Alligator mississippiensis: one gene and its partner. The protein of the gene in region 2 binds, or shares a complex with, the protein of the main gene of each other region. Links are inferred from orthologs where the notes say so. Each region holds a gene or a part of one and is shown on either strand. Other genes may lie near its edges. The genes, in order: GDF2 and ACVR2B.

The links.
Region 1: the proteins of ACVR2B (region 2) and GDF2 are in contact, whole or in part, in a crystal structure (PDB 4FAO), measured with the Homo sapiens proteins. The link is inferred for Alligator mississippiensis from reciprocal best matches to the Homo sapiens genes ACVR2B and GDF2. Residues at the interface, in NP_001097.2 of Homo sapiens: Asn35, Glu39, Cys49, Glu50, Glu52, Lys55, Leu57, Tyr60, Ser62, Arg64, Val73, Lys74, Cys77, Trp78, Leu79, Asp81, Phe82, Asn83, Glu94, Gln98, Val99, Phe101; in NP_057288.1 of Homo sapiens: Arg333, Ile346, Ala347, Pro348, Lys349, Glu350, Tyr351, Glu352, Lys397, Ser399, Pro400, Ile401, Ser402, Val403, Leu404, Lys406, Gly410, Val411, Pro412, Thr413, Leu414, Tyr416, His417.

Annotation. Positions count from the first base shown.
Region 1 is NC_081829.1:20,539,994-20,550,002, forward strand, and holds the start of GDF2 (growth/differentiation factor 2), read right to left. Parts: upstream 4,684-10,009; 5' UTR 2,808-4,683; coding exon 2,462-2,807; intron 1-2,461. UniProt on the Homo sapiens protein: Potent circulating inhibitor of angiogenesis. Signals through the type I activin receptor ACVRL1 but not other Alks. Signaling through SMAD1 in endothelial cells requires TGF-beta coreceptor endoglin/ENG.
Region 2 is NC_081828.1:208,209,070-208,219,927, reverse strand, and holds the start of ACVR2B (activin receptor type-2B), read right to left. Parts: upstream 4,701-10,858; 5' UTR 4,149-4,700; coding exon 3,998-4,148; intron 3,641-3,997; exon of another isoform or gene 3,605-3,640; coding exon of another isoform or gene 3,529-3,604; intron 1-3,528. UniProt on the Homo sapiens protein: Transmembrane serine/threonine kinase activin type-2 receptor forming an activin receptor complex with activin type-1 serine/threonine kinase receptors (ACVR1, ACVR1B or ACVR1c).

The DNA of each region.
Region 1 (10,009 bases), on a different chromosome or scaffold from region 2:
AGTATAAAGAGCCAAAAAGTAGGAAGTACTGGTCAGTAATGGAGATAATACTAGGGCAACCAGGAAGTCTTCAAATTTGGTGGCTTCCTTTAGAGCCTCTGACAGATAGAGTTCCTGAAGTACAGGCAGTCCTTGACTTACAACGTTTCGAGTTACAACGTTTCGCACTTACAATGTTTATAAATTGACACCCTGTTTCAACTTTCTGACCTCAGTTTAAACTTTACAACGCTTGATCCGTTGCAGTGGCATCCAGCAAACAAGTTCGCTGCATCACCCATCTCCCTGGAGAACATCTGTCCAAACTTCCTTGGGCACTTTCTTTAAGAAAGCAGACAAGACTCCAGAAAAACCGGCAGCCAAGACTCCTGAGAAGACTCCAGCCAAGAGCCCTTCAAAAAGTCCAACCAAGAGCCCTTCAAAAAGTGCAGCAAAGTCACCTCAAAGAAGTCCTTCCAAATCAATATGATTGCTATTTACAATATAAGTATATTAATGTAGCTATATTACTCATCTATAATTGATCGAGTGCAAAATTCTGGAGTATTTTTGGTGAAAATAGAGTATCGGGCCTTGGTTCAGGAACCAATCTCCCATTTATAACATTGTTTCTTATGAGAAAATTGGTTCCAAGTTGCAACGTTTCAACTTAAGATGCAGTTTTCAGGAACCAATTGTGTCGTAAGTCCGAGGACTACCTGTACTAAGGCTGAAAATCTACTGGAAGACTGAAGTACAAACTCTGCCTCTATCATTTTGCATTAGGATAAATTCCTCTTAGAAATTACATAGCAAATATATATGCCCTTGTGCCAGCTTTTCAATTCTTTTCAATATCTTAGCATAAAATCGTAACATTAAAAAAAAGTCTTCCTAATATCTTAGCACAAAAACCAGCTTAGATTGGAAGAGAATGAGGGAAAAGAGGTAATCCAAAAGCTTCAGGGTCTTATTACTTTGGGAGGATTGGTAATGAGATAAGGAACAGTTCCCTTCCATGTCCCTGATTCATGTCTTGATTAGATTGGTGGGTTTGCTTTTTTTTTCAGCAGTGCAGAGAGAACTAGCAATCTTTCCTGAAGTCAAGGGGGCTATAGGTATTACGCACTTTGGGAAGATAAGGTTGGCAGTGTTTAAGAGTTCCCACCATCTGATAGCTGTTTGGTGGTTGAAGTAAAATGAACTGATGAACTTTAGTCCAGTTTTTATGAACAAATTTCCATGCCTGTTCAAAAAATGGTCACCTCTAGTCTCATCTGATAGCTGTTTGGTGGTTGAAGTAAAATGAACTGATGAACTTTAGTCCAGTTTTTATGAACAAATTTCCATGCCTGTTCAAAAAATGGTCACCTCTAGTCTGAGCAGAGAATGGGCCCTGGAAACTGTACTCCAGCTCATACTTGTGGGTCAGGGTTAGCACGTTAATAAGGGAATATAAAGGTGGTTATAGTGTTGTTGCAGTGTCTATTCTGTAATTAGAGAAGATTTGATTCTCCTCGGCCTTTTCATTTCCCCATCATTACATTCATTTAACACTCCTTTTATCGCTTCTAATAATTAAGCTTTTATTATTTTTAAATGTTCCACAGACAACACTTTATTGATATGCTGAGCTGGGACGGGCCCAAACCAGAACCCTCAATCCGAACACTCCAGAACTTTGGGAGTGAGGAGTGGTGACCCTAGTTCAAATCCCAAGCTATGTTTTTTACTTGGCTTTTCTCCTGATAAAGTATGGGAGGAACACTGCAAACAGTTGTTCCATAAGAAGGGATAGCAGTTTTAAAAAATGTGAAAGGCTGCACTAACCTAAGAGGGATAAAAAGTGTTCTCCATTGTCACAGAGGGCAGGACACAAGACAGTGGGTTTATTGCAGCAAAGCAGTTTTAAATTAAATCTTAGAAAAAAGGCTTCCTAAAAGTAAGAAACAAAGGAAAACAGAACAAGCTGTCTAGGAAAGCTACGTAAACTCCTGCATTGGAGGTTTTTCATTAAGAGGCTAGATAGACATTTGTCTGGGGTGGTTTAGAAATAAACATACCCAGCATCTATGCAGAGGGTTGGATGAGGGGATTCATGGGGTCCCTTCCAACCCTATGGTTTTATGTTGATGCCTCACGTATAGCTCCAAATTTTTCAACTCAGCCCTAATTCTCTAGCTTTGAGACAGATAACAAAATAACCCTCAATTTTATAGATGTGGTGCCTCATCTGATTCAGTATGAGAAGGAGAGATTGTACAATGTGAAATCAAAGAAAAGAACTAAAAGCCATTATGTTTCATGTAGACCAAAAGAAAATAAGGAGCAGAAGAAAGAACTACAAAACAGACCAGGGCTGGGATTGGTCTAAGGAGCCTATGGGAGTTAGGTATGAAGCTTCCCCCGAATTTCAATAGGAACTTAATACCCAACTCACAGACTGCCTTGTAAATTCCTGTCTGTATTTAAGATGTCATACCTTCAGTACTGAAGCTCCGCACAATGTTGGATGCAGGGATGGAAGACTTGTCCATGGCATATCTGTTGTACAAATCAATCATGAATTGCGGTGGTTCTTCTTTGGTCCTCTCTTGTGAAGGAACCCTAGATAAGTTCAAACTCCTCAGTAAATCTGCCTTCATGTTCTCCAGTAGGCTTCTAAAATTGAGATGCGTCTCACCTTCCATCTCTCCCAGCTCACCAAAGTATATATCAGAATCCTCCGTAACTGATAACTTGCTTCTTTCTTCCAAGGGTTTGCCTCTTGTCAAACAAGCAATGATGTTGAAAATGGACAATGCAGCAAATGTCCCCAAATAGTTCATTTTCCCTATGCTCACTTTCCAATGGTGAAGAAAAGACAGGGCTATTCCAGTTGACTGGAACTCGTCTGATTAGAGCCAGAAGAAAGGGAAACAGAAGGCAAACAACTGAAATGCCCTTTGCAAATCACTTTCTTGAGCTCTTTTGCAGCCTGCTTCAAACCACAGCCTCTTGTCAGTTGTCAAGCAGATTGGTTGTACACTTGCCCTTATCTTAGCCATTGATGCCATGCTTCAGCTTCTGTTATCTAGCAAAGCTCTTAGTTAATGAAGATTCTATAAACATCTGACAAACACATATGGCTTATGGGAAGGACACTGCATACTGTAAAGAATCCACATTTCACTTCAGGGTCATCATTGCTTAATTATGTTTTTTATCATTTCCTTGCCAACAGGGAGAGGTCTAAAGAGAAGCATTTTGGGGGTGGAGAATAAAATTGTGTTTCCCTAAGGAACTACAAAAGCTGAAAAGAGGGGTGGGGGTTAAGAACAAAATGTTTCATTAGCAGTTAGCAAACATTGCCCTCAGATATTTACCCCAGTCCCTTAATTTATTGATCCAAAATCACTCTTCTGGTAGAACTCTGTGCTCTTGCAACACATGATCTCACAACATTGCACACAACCTTAAAATTTCCTTCTTTTTATCAGCTGAGAGCTATTATTTGTACACAGTGAAATATCTGTTTTGTATCAAGTTTGCTTCAAGTTGTTTGTAGATTTTCTATTTTCAGTGTGCATCCTTTGATGCATGGAGAAAAACAGTGTGACTTTATAGCACGTTATGTAATGTATTTTCTTAGATTCATGCACACGAGGTTGGCTAAGTTGGTCCAAGAACAACCAGTTATTGCCTAAGTGATCTCAAAGTGAAGATAAAACTCAGCCTACTAAACCAATGTAGAAAGTAAATGGTTTCTATGACTGTAACGAAGATTATCCATGGATGTTATTGTTTTCCATATAGATCTGGGCCAAAGTAAAAGAAGTGAGATTCGTTAGTTGTGTTTTTTGTATCTCAGGAAGTTAAACTAGTTATCTATATAGCATATTATGATTTGATATTTAATTTGATTGAACTTAACCATCCTAAATGATCTAATCTAATATTATACAACCAGTTTACTTAAACTGCCTTTGTATGATTTTTTAAAGTAGAAATTAACCTGTAGCATGCGTGGATGCCATACCATCTCATTGATACTAGGAGAGCTCAAAACACCTACGCAAAATTACCGCTAAATTTTATCCCTAGTCATTCTTTTCCAGTTTTTTAGCAAAGCATTAGGGGTATGTGAAATGGGCTGTATTCTATTTGGATTGGCCCGAATCAGGACAGTGATTCAATTCGTTAATTCGGATCACTGTCCCCAATTTGGCCGAATCTGAATCTGAAGATTTGATGCTGATTCGGAGAATCTACGATTTGGACATAGACACAGCTTTAAATGTTTTTTCTACAGACCTCAAGGTACCAGGTGGCTCATCAATGCTGCAATGGTTGGGCAGATGGAGCATCCCACAGGAGCACAGGGGTCCCCCACGTGCTCGGCAGCAAACCTGGAAGTGGACCGGAAATGCTTCTGGTCCACTTCCGGGTCTGCCAGGGAGCACGCTGGGGGCCCCCCCTGCACTCCCCATCTCGGCAATCAGTCACGGGGGGACCCTCCAGACTCAGGAGGCACCAGTTGCTGAGCCAAGCGGGAGCATGGGGTGGGGGTGGGAGGGGGAGGCAGCATCTCCCCAGTGGATCTGGAAGTGGACTGGAAGTCCTTCTGGTCCACTTCCGGGTCTACTGCTGAGCACTCTGGGGACCCCCCTGCACTCCTGTGGGATGCTCCATCTGCCCCACCATCACAGTGCTGATGAGCCGCCTGGTACCTTGAGGTCTGTAGAAAAAACATTTAAAGCTGTGTCTATGTCCAAATCTCTGAATCTTTCTGAATCTGTCCGAATCGATTCGGAGGGTTCCGATTTGATTCAGAGAGATTAAAGGGTCTCCTGATTAAATTTGGATTTGAAGATTTGGCCACCGAATCGGGCCAAAACTCCACCAAACTGAATCAGGGGCTGAAGCTTCACACAACCCTACAGAGCATATCTTCCTTTACTCTGCTTTTATCTGATTTGTCACAGGACACTAAGGTGCCCTGCTCCTAGAAGAGCAGGAAAAGCAGGAACTGCCTGGGGAGAGCCCAAAGAGCCAGGCAGGAGCCCAGATGCAGGTTGCCATGGCAACCGGCTAAGGTGGAAATTAGTCAGCACCTGTACCTGGTCAGCTGGCAGGAAGGGGCAGGGCCTTAGGCCCATATAAACCCAGGCTGAAACTAAGGGAGGCAGTTCTCTGCTGGTGGCTAAGGGGGAAGGAGCCCTCTTAGAATGAGAAAGGAAAGAGGCCTGACTAACCTCTGCTCTGGGTAATGGTAAAGGGGCAGAGCACACCTTTGGTAGCCTATGTTAAGTTATAGCTCAGGGGCTTATGTTTTGTTTGTAGTTTTATAAGACCGGTGGTTTGGGTGAGGCTATTTGGGGAAGAAGGAGGCCTCACTGGGGGCCCACTACAGAGTGGAGACCCTGGTGCCAGAGAGGGCGCAGCATTTGGTGGGGGCACAGACTCCAGCGCCAGAGAGGGCATGGCATTTGGGGTGCACAGACTCCAGCGCCAGAGAGGGTGCGGTATTTGGGGTGCACAGACCCCAGCGCTGGAGAGAGCGTGGCATTTAGGGCGCGGAGACCCTGACACCAGAGAGAGTGCAGCATTTGCTGGGGGCACAGACCCCGGCGCCAGAGACGGCGTGGCATTTGGGGGTGCAGAAACCCCGGCACCAGAGGCGCGGCTTTTGGGGGTGCAGAGACCCCGGTGCCAGAAAGGGCGTGGCATTTGGGGTGCAGAGACCCTGGCGCCAGAGAGGGTGCAGAGACAGGGCTGCGGAGAGCCCAATGTGGACAAGGGACCAAATTATAATGAGGCCAAGGCAAGACAATGCCAGCACCATCTGTGAGGCTTAGGGCATGGTAAAAGGGCAGTTGGAGCCATGCATATAGCCCATAAGGCTAGGGTGCCCCGAAACACCCATTGTGGAACGAGACCCACAAGGGATCTGGGAACCCACAGGGTTCAGTAAGTCCATCAAACCGTGTCCAAGAGGACTTAAAGGCAGCTTCCCTATTTTCATATTTTTCATCAAAGACGTGGAGTGAGAACTGAGGGTGCCCATCGGGCCACATTGGCATGGTCAAGGGGCTTTAGGAGAACACGGCCATCCTTAAGGACCCCATCCCGTGACATGATTCTTCTCCAGTGACATGCAAATCTTGTTTTCTGGACTTGTAGTTTTTAAGGCCAGATGTGACATGAGCTCATCAAGTCTAACCTCTCATTTAGCACAGGGAATAACATTTCAGTGACGTTGCCCCCTGTATTAAGCCAAGTAAATTATGTCCGAATAAAACATAACTTGTTTTTGGCTAAGGCACATCTTTCCAAAAGGCATCTAATCTTGAGTTAAGAGATGGAGAATCCATCACTTCCTTAGGGATTTTGTTCCACTGGGTGATTGTCATTACTTAAAAAAAAATTGTGCCTACTTTAAAATTTAAATTTGTCTTGCTTCAACTTTTAGCCTTTGATCTTGTTATGCCTTTCTGTATTATATTAAAACACCTTTTCATGCATGGTATTTTCTTGTCATTAGGGTACTTACATAATAAATAAGTCACCTCATAGACTTTTTTTCTGATTGAATTCTCTTGGCATGTCTACACATGCAATTAATGCGACTGAATAAACTTTGGTACAATTTGAGCTGGAGTAAGCTAATCCTGACATCACCATCTACACATGCACATAAGCACAGTAATTTATTCCACCTTCAGATAGTACTTGTGTCAGATGGGACTATCTGAGAGTGTAGTAAATAAATCTACATTGACCTAACTGCCACACGTGTAGATGGTGATGTTTTACTGAGCACGTTTAGAGGCACCCTCTGAGTCTCTCTCTGTAAGGTGATTTCTCCACCCATCAAATAATTTTTGTTGCTCTTTTCTATATTGTCTCCAGTGGTTCAATATCCTTTTTAACATGTGGACACTAGTTCAGTATACAGTATTCTAGTGTTCATCCACCAGTGCGGTATACAGAAGTAAAATTACCTCCCAGCTCCTACTCACTATTCACCTGTTTGTATTTAGCAATAACATCACTCTTTTTGCCATTGATTTACCTTCAAAGTGCATGTTAAACTTAGATCATACTAAGGACACTTAAAAAGTGAGCATCCACATGTTAAAACTCATTAATTCTAGTTAAGTGCCTTCTGAGCATCTCAACATTATGCCACTTCAGGAGAGGGTTAACTCTGGCCCATGCTACTTAGAAAAATTTAGGGTAAATTCAGTCTGCTCCACAGAGATAAAATGAGTCCTCTAGCATCCCAGGATGCACTGCTGCCTTGCATCCTCAGAACGGGGATAGACCCCAGGTGTCTTGGCTCTCATGGCCCTGCTCACCAGCCCTCCAGTGTCAAGTCAGAGTTATGCAGGCAAGGAACAGTATTAACTCATAATGTGTAACTGCTTACAGCACATTCTGTTTTTAAAATTGGTTAACATTCCACAGATTTAGTATGGTCTAAATGTAATGTATAACTTCAGCCTAGGCCTGATGTAGCCTTTTGTTCAGAGGTTCTATGAAAATATATTTCCCAGTGAAGTCAATAGGAGTAGATTATATTAGAATCAGCTTCTGGAGAAAGTATTTCCCTGATACAGGCTCTTTCTTATGCTCCATCTCCAAACTACCCCCTTCCCACTGCAATAACTGAAACACCACATTCTAGGGCAAGCCTTCTAAATGCCAAGTGATTTTGGACTCCAAACTTTACACAACTTATGGATCCTGGTTTTCATAGGATGTGTTCTAGACACTGGCTCAAGAACAGGCCCCTTTTAAAGTATCTCAGGTAAGATAACCACACATTAAAGTTCCTTAAATCAATCATTGCTTTTGAAAAATCTTGGCCTAGGCCTTTTCTGCACTATAAAATTGACTGGTATAGCTTTATTGACAGAAAACCTTCCCAGTCTTCCAAGCAGAGACTCAGATTATAGCAGGAAAAATGTCCTTTCGCTGATATGTCTCATTCTGTTTCCTTAAATGAAATAAGTTATACCAGCAAAAGAACTCTTTTGCCTACATAAGCTGTGTCTCCATTAGAAAGGTTTGCAAGCACAGCTGCATCAGTCTGAGGTGTGATTTTTTTTTCTGCAATCTAGCTGACAGCTATGCCAGCAAAAATTTTAAGTGTTGACCATGTTCTTTAAAGTACCCTCGCTGTGTACAGAAGAGGGACTTTTACCTACAAACATATTGAATCAAAGATTTGTGTTTCCTTCTCCTAGTCACCTGCATCATCATGACTTGGAAAGCAAGTCTGTGACCAAGGAACAGTTCAGGATGTAAAATAGGCTCCCTAAGGAAAACAAAATGTAATAGACCAGAACATAAATACACTAGACCAACGTGTCATTCTAGCCAGATGTTAAATGGGAACAAGGCCATGTCTGTGGGAAAAGATGAGTATTTGTTTAGGACAGTATAGGCAATGGTTTAATATATTTTTTTTAAATTGCAAAAAAGGTCTACACTCTAAGCTGTAACTCAGGTATAGCTATTGCATCATATATTATGGGTCTGGTTCTCGTCTTGTTTACACTTATGTAACTCCATCAACTTTAATGAAATTCTTCCATATTTATAACAGTGAAAAAAGAATCAGACCCTATCGGCACCAAAGAATGCATGAGATGCTCATGTTAAGCAAAATGCTTTTGTTTTTAACCTTCTATTTTAAGGTGAGTGGTTTGACTCTCCATAAGATTAACATACTATTTTTTAATATTGCTAACAACACTTATATGAAGTATGATAGTGTTATTACCACCATTTTACAGGTAGAGAGTGGAGGCACATAAAAGCTAGGACCATAAAAGGAGCTAGGTGTCTAAAATGTGATTTAGGTGAGTCTTGATATGTGAGTCTAAAACTTAGAACCTCAAAGCATTTGCTCAGCTGTCACCGAACCCTGGAATCACTTATATTCTAGATGTAGAGAACTAAAGTTCAGGTACTTAAAGTTCTGCTTCTGGACATGCCCTGAAGCAGTTTTATCATGATGGGACTGAACAGTTCAGCACTTGGCCCACCTAAGCCATATCAAGATTCCCAAACTAGGCAGCAATTTTCAACCAGGGTGCTGTGACTTTATGCTTGATACAGAAGTTACTGGGTGAGGTTCTTTGGCCTGTATTATGCAAGAGGTCAGACTAGATGATCATAGTAGTCCCTTCTGGCTTTAATCTATAAATTATATTGTGACAAGCATAGCCTGGACATTCCAAATAAGATAGCATTGCTTTTCCTCTAATTAACAGAATACAACAATGTGTATTTATAGAAAGACATTTCAACTATTTTTAAATACTACTGTACCTTAATTTATTAGCTTTTGTTAAAAGCAACCTAAAGGATATAAAGTATAATTTACAAAAATATAAATCTTGGTTATTTTTTAGTATTTAAACATATTACTATATAGTATGTGTTATTCAGAGAATACATATGTTTAAGAACCTGAAATTAACCAGCACAGAAATGACGGTGGGATAGTGTTACATCTTTTGTAAAACAAAGTATATATTATGGAAAGGTAACCAAAAATAGTTATATTAATATACTGAATATATAAAAGCTTATACAGTGCACTACATTTGAATCCTGAAGAAAAATATGTATATTAAGCCCTTTTATTACAGCATTTTTTCAGTATAAATATGTGGACTAAAGGTATGAATTTTAGGCAAAAAGATTTGATTTGTGTAAAAAAGCAATATTCTAAAATACTCTTGCTTTTGCAAAGTCCGTTCCCATCTTCTTGGTTAGCTGAAAAGTAAAATAGCCAGGAAAATAGTATATAAAAATGTATTTTAGTCCTCCAGTTACGGTAAACTTAAGTAAAAACGATCAGATTTCTTAGCTAGATGGGTTAAAATAGATTTGAAAAGTCTGGGATTTCTGGAAGGTGAATCATTGTTACATTACAAGACAAATGATGAAATTTAAGGTCCTTAGAGGTGAGCACGTGTGCTGCTATAGTGTCTCTGCATTCTTTCTGTAGAAGGAGATGTGGGTTTGGATTCAT
Region 2 (10,858 bases):
TGCTCGGTAGCCAAAGCACTCTGGTTCTAGTCCCTGAACCCCTGCAAAACTTAGTACCAACACCGCAAAGCCGATTAATAGAAGCAACAGCTACATTTCGTACATTTATCAGAAACTAGGCCTTGGAATACACAAGGGCCAGAATTACTGCTTTTGAGTGCAATGCCTTACAAAGATTCAGTGATATTATTATTTTAAAGGTAAGCTGACTTCTTAGGACTATACCCAACATGGGTGGAGCACGCAGCCCCTTTATGGATGGCCCCATCTAAAACCAGTACTTTGTTCCATGTGAGAGGAACTGCAAAAATGCCATTTGGTTCCTATTATAAATAAGATGCTGACAGCGGGCTGAAGATCTTCTCACAGACAGAAGAGCAGCACAAATGAAAGAAGTCAGATTCGCATAGTGGGTCTAAAAGGTATAAATCCCGTCAACCACAACCCAGTCCTTTGAGTTGTCCTGCTGGATTTGAATTGACCACTGAATCACCATGCTGGGCAAGCTGTGCATTTTGTCCAGGCTGGACAGAAAGGGAGACAGAAATAGAAGCAATAACAACAACAAAAAAGAGGTGGGCTTATTTCCTTCTTCTGAAGCATCTATGCAGTGGGAGCAGGGGAGGTATAGGCCTGTTGCATCATCTAAACCACAAAAAAAACGACAGGCATGTCTTTGCTGATGGAGAACAGAGTGGAAAGGAGGGTGGTGACAGCCAAGACTGTGGGTACTGCAAGAGCTCGGCTTTAATTGGCTGTTTCTGTTCAGTTGATGAGATAGTAAGGAAAGTGATAGTGCCTGGATAGGCTGCTCAAAGACACACGAAAATGGCACACATTTCAGTGTATAAATACTTCAGCTGGATGGCAGGGTTTGCCCTAGACTCCTTAATTGTTCTAGGGAACCTGGATTTTTAACTCGGCCTAATAAACACATACTCTCTCCCACCACAGCAAGGAAGACATAATAAGATGCTTTGTTTTCCCCTTAAAAAAACCACAACCTGCATACGATACTGAGAGCTTTCTGTATCACCGCTAAGAATAATGCATTTATACAGCAATAAACCCTTAACACTGTCTCAGTCCTAGCGAGAAGCATCATTATCTAGCATGTGTGCACGCGCGTATATATACACAAGTTGTTATACATACATATTTACACATAAACATATGTATATACATACACACGCACTGTATTTATGTAAGTTGTTATACACACACACACACACCCTGGACACCAGGTTCAAGAGTTTTGTCTTTTTAAAGGCTATTGCCATTAACCTTGGGCCAGGCATTTCATTGTGTTTAATTAGCAAGCTAATGAATCCAGTCCCCTTCTCAAGCAGAAGAGAATAAATACACCATCCTGAAAGAGGAGCCTAGATCCATCTGATGTTCAATTCATTGCTGCCTGGTGGTACTTTATTTTGGTGCAAGTTTAAATACTGTAATGTTTCAACAAAATGTGTTCGCAATGTGTTTTGCAAAACAAACCCTCTTACACCTTCTGCATTCTCTAAATTTCACAGATTACAACACAATTTCTCAACATTTGGGTTGCCGAGATTTTTCAAACAAAAGGCAAAAATTGAACATAATGTTTTCCTCAACAAATATTCGGTATTCCAAAAGTTAGACACATGACGGATATTTAAAAAAAATCCGCAGTCTGTGCTTATTTTATTGCAGTCACCCAAGGTAGTACTGAAAACCATCAACAATGGAGGTTGGGCTGGTTTTAAAAAGCCCCACCGCTTTTGCACGGTCCTAAAATATAACACACACAAGAAATATTTCCTGCAAGGCAGGGGAGCTGTGAATCCTAAGCAACATGTTGCAACTTTTTTTCCTAAACCTCAACGAGAAAAAGGAACACTGCACAGGCAACAGGTTCATGTGGCTAAATACATTCCCAAATATAAGAAATGGGAAAGATAAAATATGAAAAGAGATTTACAACTCTCAAGTTCCAAGTTGATGATCCACAGAGAGCTTTCAAAGCAAACATACACACACACTGTCTGTTTTTGTGTTAATATTGCAAGGGGGGCGGGGGGGAGAGTCCGGGTGATCATATCCTACTAGATTCTCCCTTTTTTTTTTTTTTTTAAATAACCTGATGCACTTGGCAAATTTCAGAGTCAATTTTATTTTATTTTTTTTAAAGAAACTTCCTTTTGCTGTTTGTTTTTATTCTGATATTTCTGTCACTAGAAGCAATGCTAGGAGCAGACACGGCCCCCGTTTGTGAGCCCCACAGTTTAAAAGGAGTCAAAAAGGTCCACAACAAGAACAGGTTCAAAAGAGTATAAATCTCCTCGGTGCACAAAATAGAATTTCCCAGCCGACAGCGATGCTGCGATCGCAGAAATCCCGAAGCCTGATGGCACACGCTGGCACACCATTGTCCCAGCCATCCGGCTGCTTCCTAAATACCTGCTCCTACTCAGCGCTGCCGTCAATGTGCTCGCTCACACCCCCCTTGCAACACAAGGAAACAAAGCTGTACACACAAGTGTCCCATCCGTTCCATAAATGCCCTGGCTGGCTCGATCGCCACCAAATCATCATCTTTTTTGTTTGTCCTTCTGCTTCCTCTCCCCAACACAAGCATCATCAGAACCTTTGGTGCGACTTTCAAACCATTGAGAGAAGGCATTGTTTATGGTACAGGGTGCAGGCGATGGCACCGCACATTCAATGGGCACTGGGAACAAAGAAACGCCAGCGCCAGCCTGGCAGCCTTCAGCGCGCAGCACATTCCAAAACAAACCCGCCCCCGGGTTCCCCCTGCAAGCCCGGGGGATGCTCCTGGGGCCAGGATCCCCTGGGAAACCAGGCAACAAAGGGGGGGGGGGTGTCCCTGCCTGCTGTGTGTGCCCCTGGATTTAAAAATAAATAAATAAATAAAGATTTGAAAGCAGCAGGCTGCATTCCCCACCCTGCACAGAGCCGGGGAAGGGCACAATTGCAGCACCCCTCCTTCCAACCATCTATTGTGAGCCTCTGTGCACACCCCAAAATAAAACCCACCACCACCACCCTGCTTGGAAATGGAGACAAAATAACAAGTGACCGTGCAGCCCTTCCTCTAGCAGAGGGCCAGAGGTGATCAAATCAAGACCAAGCCAGGAAGGGGAGGGGGAGCCTTTTGTGGGGGTTTTTTTGGGGGGGAGCACACATGAAATGAAAGCCCTGTGAAAATTCATCCCCTCCCCTTGCAAAATAGAAATCCCTGGAAGAAAAAGAGGGGGGGGGATGATGTTGTGATGGAGGAGGAGGGGGAGCAAGTGACTTTAAAGTCATTGCATTTTTCCTTCCGAGACCCAGGACGTCAACAGCCATGAGGCTCACGAGCCGTGTTGTTGTGGGCGCTGCAATCCGCCCGGAGGGGGGAGGTCTCTCCCCATGCAGGCACGGAGGGAAGCGCACAACAAAGCGGCCGGGACTCGGCTCCAGCTAAAAAAACCACCTCCTTTCCTCCCCCCGGTGCACAAAGCCAGCACCCAAGGGCTCGTCCCAAACCTTGGCCAGGATCCCTGAGCAGCGTGGCCTTCTCCTCCTGCCCCTGAGCCGCGCCGGTGTTTACATGAACTTCCATCGCGGCAGGCAAGGTCCCTGCCCGCCCCGCGCTCGGGTTTCAAATCACCCGGGGGTGGCGGGGTGTTAAACCAGCCCCCCTGCCCTGCCCTGCCCTGCCCCGTCTCCCCTCCGCGCCCGCACAACTTTCTACCCGCTCCATCAGCCTGGCACAAATCAGAGCAAATGAGTCATCTTATAAAAATAGAAATGGGGGGTGAAATAATAATAATAATAGTAATAATAAAAACCCTATGGGATCATAACATTTCGCGGGACGCACACACACGCCCGGCAGCTGCAGGGGCAGAGCAACCCACCGGCTCCGGAGGCCGGACAATGCAGCCCCGAGCCCGGGAAGTTTCCGAGCCCCGGGCGGGCTTGGCCCCGGCCCCGGCCCCGGCCCCGTCCTTACCTGCGCACAAAGTTCCGCAGAGCAGGGCGAAAGTCACCCAGGGCGCGATCATCCTCCTGGCCCGGCGCCTGCCCGCCGGGGGCCCCCGGGGGAGCCGCGGGCGGCCGGCGGGGGAGCGCGAGCCTCGGCCGCCCAAAAGCAGGAGCAGCATAAAAAAGAAGAAGAAAGGATGCCCCCAAACCCCCAGGATCCTCGAGGCGATGCGATGGGGGGGGACCCCCAAAAAAACCCCACCAAAAAAAAACAAAACAGCTTGAATTCCTGCACCGCTGCCCCGGGGATCCGATGGAGGCGGCTCCGGCTCCGGCTGCTCCCGGCTTTCCAAGAGTTTCTTTTTCTTTTTTTTTTTTTTCTCTTTTTTTTTGTGCCTCGGCTTTTGTGCGTGCGCGCACACGCACACTCACCCGCACACTCACACGCACACGCCTCCCTCCTCCCGCCGGCCCGGGACACACTCGCTGGCTCACACGCGCGCAGCACAATGCGAAGCGGGGGGCGGCGGCAGGAGCGGCGCGGCGCGGCGAGTCCCCTCCACCCCCTACCCCCAACTTTGCAGCGTGGCGGAGCCCGGCAGCCGCGGGGAGGCGGGCGGCGGCCGCAGGGGCCGGGAGCGGCGCGGGGGCCGAGGCATGGCGCGGGGCGAGGGCGTGCAGGGGCCGCGAGCCGCCCCCGCCGCCGCCGCCGCCGCCACACACGCACACGCACACACACACACACACACAAAAAAGCCTGAACGGCGTCCAAAATGGCTTCTTGGAAGAAGGAAAAAAAAAAAAAAAAAAGAAGGGAGAAGCGGGAGCGGAGCCAGCGGGGGAAGCCCGGATGTTTGCTACAAAGGGAGCCGGGGAGGGGCGCGGGGCCGGCTGTGCGCAGGGCCGGGAGGCGCGAGGCCGCAGCTGCCCGCGGCCTGGGCTGGTGCTGAGGGGGCAGAGCCCCCGCTGACGGGGGGAGAGGGTGAGGGGCTGAGCAGCCCCCTGGAGAGAGCTGCAGGGGCAGGGAGGAGGGGGAACCCGCGCCCACCCCAAGCCGGGTGGGGAAGAGGTGGCAAAGGGGGTGCCAGGCCGTGAAGCCGTACACTGGCGAGGGCCGGGTTCAGAAAGGACACCTCGCACAGAGAGTTCGAGGGGCACGGCGGTCCGTCTCCGTCCCCCTCTGTTGCAGCGACCCAGCCCCGTGCCGAAACGCCTCCTGATTTCCGTGCGAGGCGAGAGGCTTCGGAAAATCCAGTCCCTGCCGACTTGTGAACCGCCGTGTTGAGGTGCTGCTTAGGAGCCCCTAATCCTGAACCGGGACCTCGGCGCGTTTGGTGCTGTACGATCCCAGAGCAAAGAGTCCAAATCGTGTAGTGTCACTTCTGTATTTTAGGCTCGTTATACTTTTTTTTTTTAACCGTGAAATAAGACGTTTTAACTTTTGCTAACCGTGTCGTAAGAAGGTTGAGGGTGGAGTAGAGCCGGCAAAGACGGCGGGCAGGAGTTCTGCAGGGAATTGGGAATCGCCTTCATAGCTTTCCTTAGTCTCCTAGAAGTCGCTGTTCTGAACCAGACACAAGGAAGCAAATTGTTCTTGGATCCTTTGGCACTATCCCATGGCACAGCATTAAGCCGCTCCTAAGTTTTGAACCAGAGGAAAGGGAGACGCCAAAGTTCAAGCTTGCCTGAGGTTTTCAGTTTGATAAGCCCACTGAGCGATCTGAGGAGACGGAGTGCTTCATCACGCTCCGAACGCCAACAGGGCTTAGCATGGAGAGCAGCAAAGTGCAGGTCAGCTCATTAATTTATCCAGTGGGGAGTGAAGCTGAAAATATTTATAAATCATTTCTCTTTGCTATGGAAGGAGATAAGAGTAACTATGAATCATTCCTTTAAAAAAATGTGAGCATTTTGTTCCAAAAAGAAATACACCTGTTTTTACTGGATTGCAGAGGCAGTCTTGGAAAGGTTTACAACCTAAACCCCTGAGGCAGTCTTGGAAAGCTTTTCTCCCTGGGGCATAAACGATGCTGCTATTCTCTACATGTACAGCACCTGGCACAACAGTATCCTAGTCTGTAAAGATACTAATTCAACACACGCAATAAGGAGCTTCATATAAACAAGCAATCCTTGTGACTTGATTAGGAAAGCAGAATGCACTTGAGAGTGTAAAGCAGTTGTGTTTTTAAATAAACTTTCAGAAACATTACAGTCAAGGCAGGGCAGTTGGCACGGATGAAATGGAAAGCACCTTTATGAAGCTCATGGAAGCACTGTGCAAGAAGCAAAGACAATGCTCTTGAAAGAAAACACTCCTGCAGAGCAGACAGCACATGCTAAAAATGTTTCTAGGGGACAGAGTTGTTGATGGGGTTACCTGGTAAGGTTTACTACCTGGCCAAATCAGGAAATATAAGGAAGAGAGAGTTAGGAGAAGGCTGCATCTGTCATAGAAAATGAACAAGGGGAGCAGTGGTGGTTTCTAGGCTTGGACTATTAATCTTGGAGATGTAACGTGGTTAATCAGGAGGTAGCAGTGATGGATTTTTATCATTGTAAATAACTCCCTTGAATGAGCCATGGAGATGGGCCACGAATGAGGGAATTGGAGACTTATTTGCAATGCAGCTTCTGAGGAGATGAGACCTGGCCCCCTGTGGGAGCAATACAAAGTAGCGCTCGGTTGCTGGAGGGTTGGAGGGGTGACAACAGATAAGTGGCCTCAAAGCCTACATTGGTTACAAAATCAAGGAGTATGTCCCATTTTTAAAAACTTGAGGGAGACAGAGAAAGAGATGGAGGAATGCATAAACCAGCAAAATATCGTCCAATATTTCATTTCCCTGCCACCCCACCTACAATTAGCTAAAATGAGATGTACCATTTCTACAAAGAAAACAGAGTATACACCATCATATCTAGACAGCACAGTGCTCGGAAGCAACCAGAACATGCCCATAAGTCATGCCAACATGTCCCTGAAAATAACTTATTCTACGAATGCACAGCTTCGCTGTTTAAGTGAGCTTCTAGCTGTTACGGTTGTGAAAAAAAAAAGCTTTAAAAATATGAACTGTATGCAGCAATGAAGCAGTTTGGGACAACAGTTCTGAGAGGTATGAACTTCTGCATGCATCTCCACGATGATGATTTATTGTCAGCATCATGAATTGTTTAACCCCTTACCTCAGAAAGGGGAGGTAGGGTCGCAGATCTACGCAACTTACTCTGAGGGAAATCTGATTTGGATGCCCGTGAAGGGCTGGTATTTTGGAGATGCCACCACATTTTAATTCCCTGGTCGAGGAGTCCAGCTGAGTGGGTTTGGCAGGGCACATTGGCATATTTGAGCCTTGCAGAGGGAGAAACAAGCTCAGGAGTATATGCTATTAGATAGTGAACATCTCCCAGTCTACTAGGAACAGCATCTCCTTACATGGGGTAGCATGTTTGCAGAGGTGCCTTGGAAGCATTCTCTTCTTTTCACCTCAATTCAAAACCTGCATTCACAAAAAGGGGTGCAGCTATATCAGGATTCCTGAATGCTTACCAACATGAGCCTACAAGTCCAGGTCCTCTTTAAGCAGCAAATCTCTATGACTGCAAGCCTGCATTTTTAAATGTGTCGGAGCTATTCATGACTAATACACAAGCCGCTCGTACGGGCAGCTCACACAGAGAACCAGTTCTCTTGTATCCAATCTTACAGTCTCGCTGGCAACCACGTTCTTACATACAGCCACTTCAAGCACAATCCCACAGAAACTGGCATAAGCTTGCTCTTTGCATATAAGGATCTCAAACTACATTCATCGGTTAAGCTACACAACCCACTTGTGAGAAAAAAGAGGCCAGGAGGGATTAGGTGAGTCACTTATTGCCACTGAATAAGTTAAAAATAGAACCAGAGGTCCTGAATCCCCATCCACTGCTCCAACCACTCAACACTGCCATGAGTCTCAAACCTCCAGGGTCCCAGGCTCCCCTGCAAGATACAGTTAGCACCAAATATACTCCCTTCTTCACTGCCTTGCACTTTGTGCACTGATCTTACTTTACACAATGACAATGCAATGTGCAAACCAATGGAGATTCAAGCCTCTTTGGCTTCACACTTAGAGAAGTACCCCAAGAGTCAGTGTGTCAGGCAGACACCACAGTACAGCTTTATTACACTGTTTCATATTTGAGCATGTATCATCATACAAAGATAAACTCTTTTCTAAACTTGCAACTTGTTTCCTTAAGAAAATTAACATTCACTCAAGATTGTCACTAACCTCAGCAGCAGGACATTTTTATATTTTCTGCCGTTCTCTGGAGGTTACCAAAGTCCTGATACAAAAGAGGTCTAGGGGTATCGAGTTGATAGTATTGTGCAGTGCTTTAATCAAGACTTTATAGTGAAAGTACCAGCTCATTTTAAACTGTTTTCCCTCTCCTAATCCAATAGTAAAAAACAAGCAAGCGCACAAACAAAACCCCACCTTGCTTACAAATATTTAATTCCCAAAATTAAATCCATCTAGTTGGAGTCTTTTGCCAAGTGGAACCCCACAGATATCAATGGGAATCCCAGATCTCCTCATGCAGTTATAATTGCCAGATTGAGGACTGCATGGTTTGGTTTATTTTTAACTGATTTATTTATCCTAGCAAGAAACACTGAGGTATGTAAACTTTAGTCAGCTGAAACTGTTTTATGCTTTGGGACTACAAATGTTGTAATAATGCTCCATCTTTCTAGCATACACATTGATATAGTAAAGCAGCAAAATACCATCTTTACTCACATACCACAAACACATTTCCCCCAAAAACTAGTCATTGAAAATTACGGTGCGTGTCCTAAGTGGGAAAGGTGATCTGCTCAGAATAGCAGCAGTGGCATTTCTATTCAGGCAGGGCTGAAGGAGTCAATTGACTTCATGGTTCATTATAATCTACTTGATTTCTGTTAATTGCTCTCCATTCAACAGGTGTTAACAATTCTCTCTCCTTCTTAATGGTCTTGATGTTCCATTAATTAAGATAGCCTTTCTTCTCCTGTTTCACAGCCCTGAAGATGGTTTTTAGCGCTTTTCAAAATCCTAGATCTGCTCATGGAGTCCAGTCTTCAGCAGCAGCTACAGTTTCAGCTTTTGCTTAAGCAGCCAAGAGCCACTGACAATCCAGCTGTGAAAGGGTTAAAACTGTAGCTTTTGCCCGAACAGGAAAGGGTAGGTGAGGCAGCTTTCCCTGTGTCTGTGGTCATAACTCTGGAAGAATGTTTTTTTCTTCATTCTGCCTTCCCAAAATAAGGTACATGTCTTTTTTGGGGGGGTGTGGTATGTGGGACAATATGGTCCCAGACCCAGGCATATTAACAGTGAAGACATGACAACAGTATTTTGGTTGTTCATACCCCAAAAAAGTTCCATTGCCATCTCACACCTTCGAACTTAGTTGTAGTCCATGTGAAATTAGGAACTGTCACTTGCTTGGGGAATAAAACAATTTCTACTGGAATAAAAAATGTGTTATGTATGAAGCATGAACCTGCTGAGAAGGAGAGAGTTCTGCTTTAATTGCTTGAACTTGGATTTAAGTTTTAGTTCAGTATAGTTTCATTCCAGGTTGTAAGACTACTCATTTAAAAATCAGAAGGAGCTTCTGACCATCTGAGTCAATATAAAGCAAAACTCCCATTACCTGCAACAGGTTGGTAGTGAGGCCCTCAGACAGCAAACTCTGGCTAGATGCAGCTTGCGCTAAGTTAACCTTCGCAACTGCAGTTCCTGATCAGAAATCATTCTAAAAATGCCCTTCAACTTCTTTGTACCTGGTTCAAAATATATATTGCACAACAATGCAAACTGGATAAAAAGGGGCGAGTGTAATTAACCCCTTCCCATATTATTGAGCCAACATACAAGAAGGTCTGAAAGAGGGAACATTTGAGGTTCTTGTGCACAGCCATAATTTTTAAAAAAAGTTTCATAGTTTCATAGTTTCATAGCTGGTAGGGTCGGAAGGGACCTGAGCAGATCATCAAGTCTGACCCCCTGCCATGGCAGGAAAAAGTACTGGGGTCAAACGACCCCAGCAAGGTGTTCATCCAGCCTCCTCTTAAAGACCCCCAGGGTAGGAGCCGGCACCACTTCACTTGGAAGTTGGTTCCAGATCCTAGCCACCCTGACAGTGAAGTAGCGACTCCTGATATCTAGTCTGAATCTACCCCCTGCCAGCTTGTGACCGTTATTTCTAGTCACTCCTGGTAGTGCTCGGGGGAACAGGGACTCCCCCCAATGCCTGCTGGTCCCCTCTGAGTAGTTTGTAACAGGCCACTAGATCCCCCCTCAGCCTTCTCTTGTGGAGGCTGAACAGGTTCAGGTCCCGTAGCCTCTCCTCGTAGGGCCTGCCCTGCTGTCCCCTGATCATGTGGATGGCCCTCCTCTGGACCCTCTCCATGTTGTCCACATCCCTCCTGAAGTGCGGCGCCCAGAACTGGATGCAGTACTCCAACTGCGGCCTGACCAGTGTCGCATAGAGGGGGAGGATCACCTCCTTGGACCTGCTTGAGGTGCACCTGTAGATGCATGACAAGGTGTGGTTAGCCTTCCTGACCGCATCCCCACACTGACGGCCCATGTTCGTTTTGGCATCAATAATGACTCCAAGATCCTTTTCTGCCTCTGCACTGACTAGAAGGGAGTTCCCCAGCCTGTAGGTATGCTGCTGGTTCTTCCTCCCCAGGTGCAGCACCTTGCACTTGTCAGTGTTGAAACCCATCCTGTTCTCATCTGCCCACCCCTGTAACCTGTCCAGGTCCAATTGCAGCCTATTCCTCCCTTCTAGCGTGCTCACATCCCCCCACATCTTAGTGTCGTCAGCAAATTTGAATAGG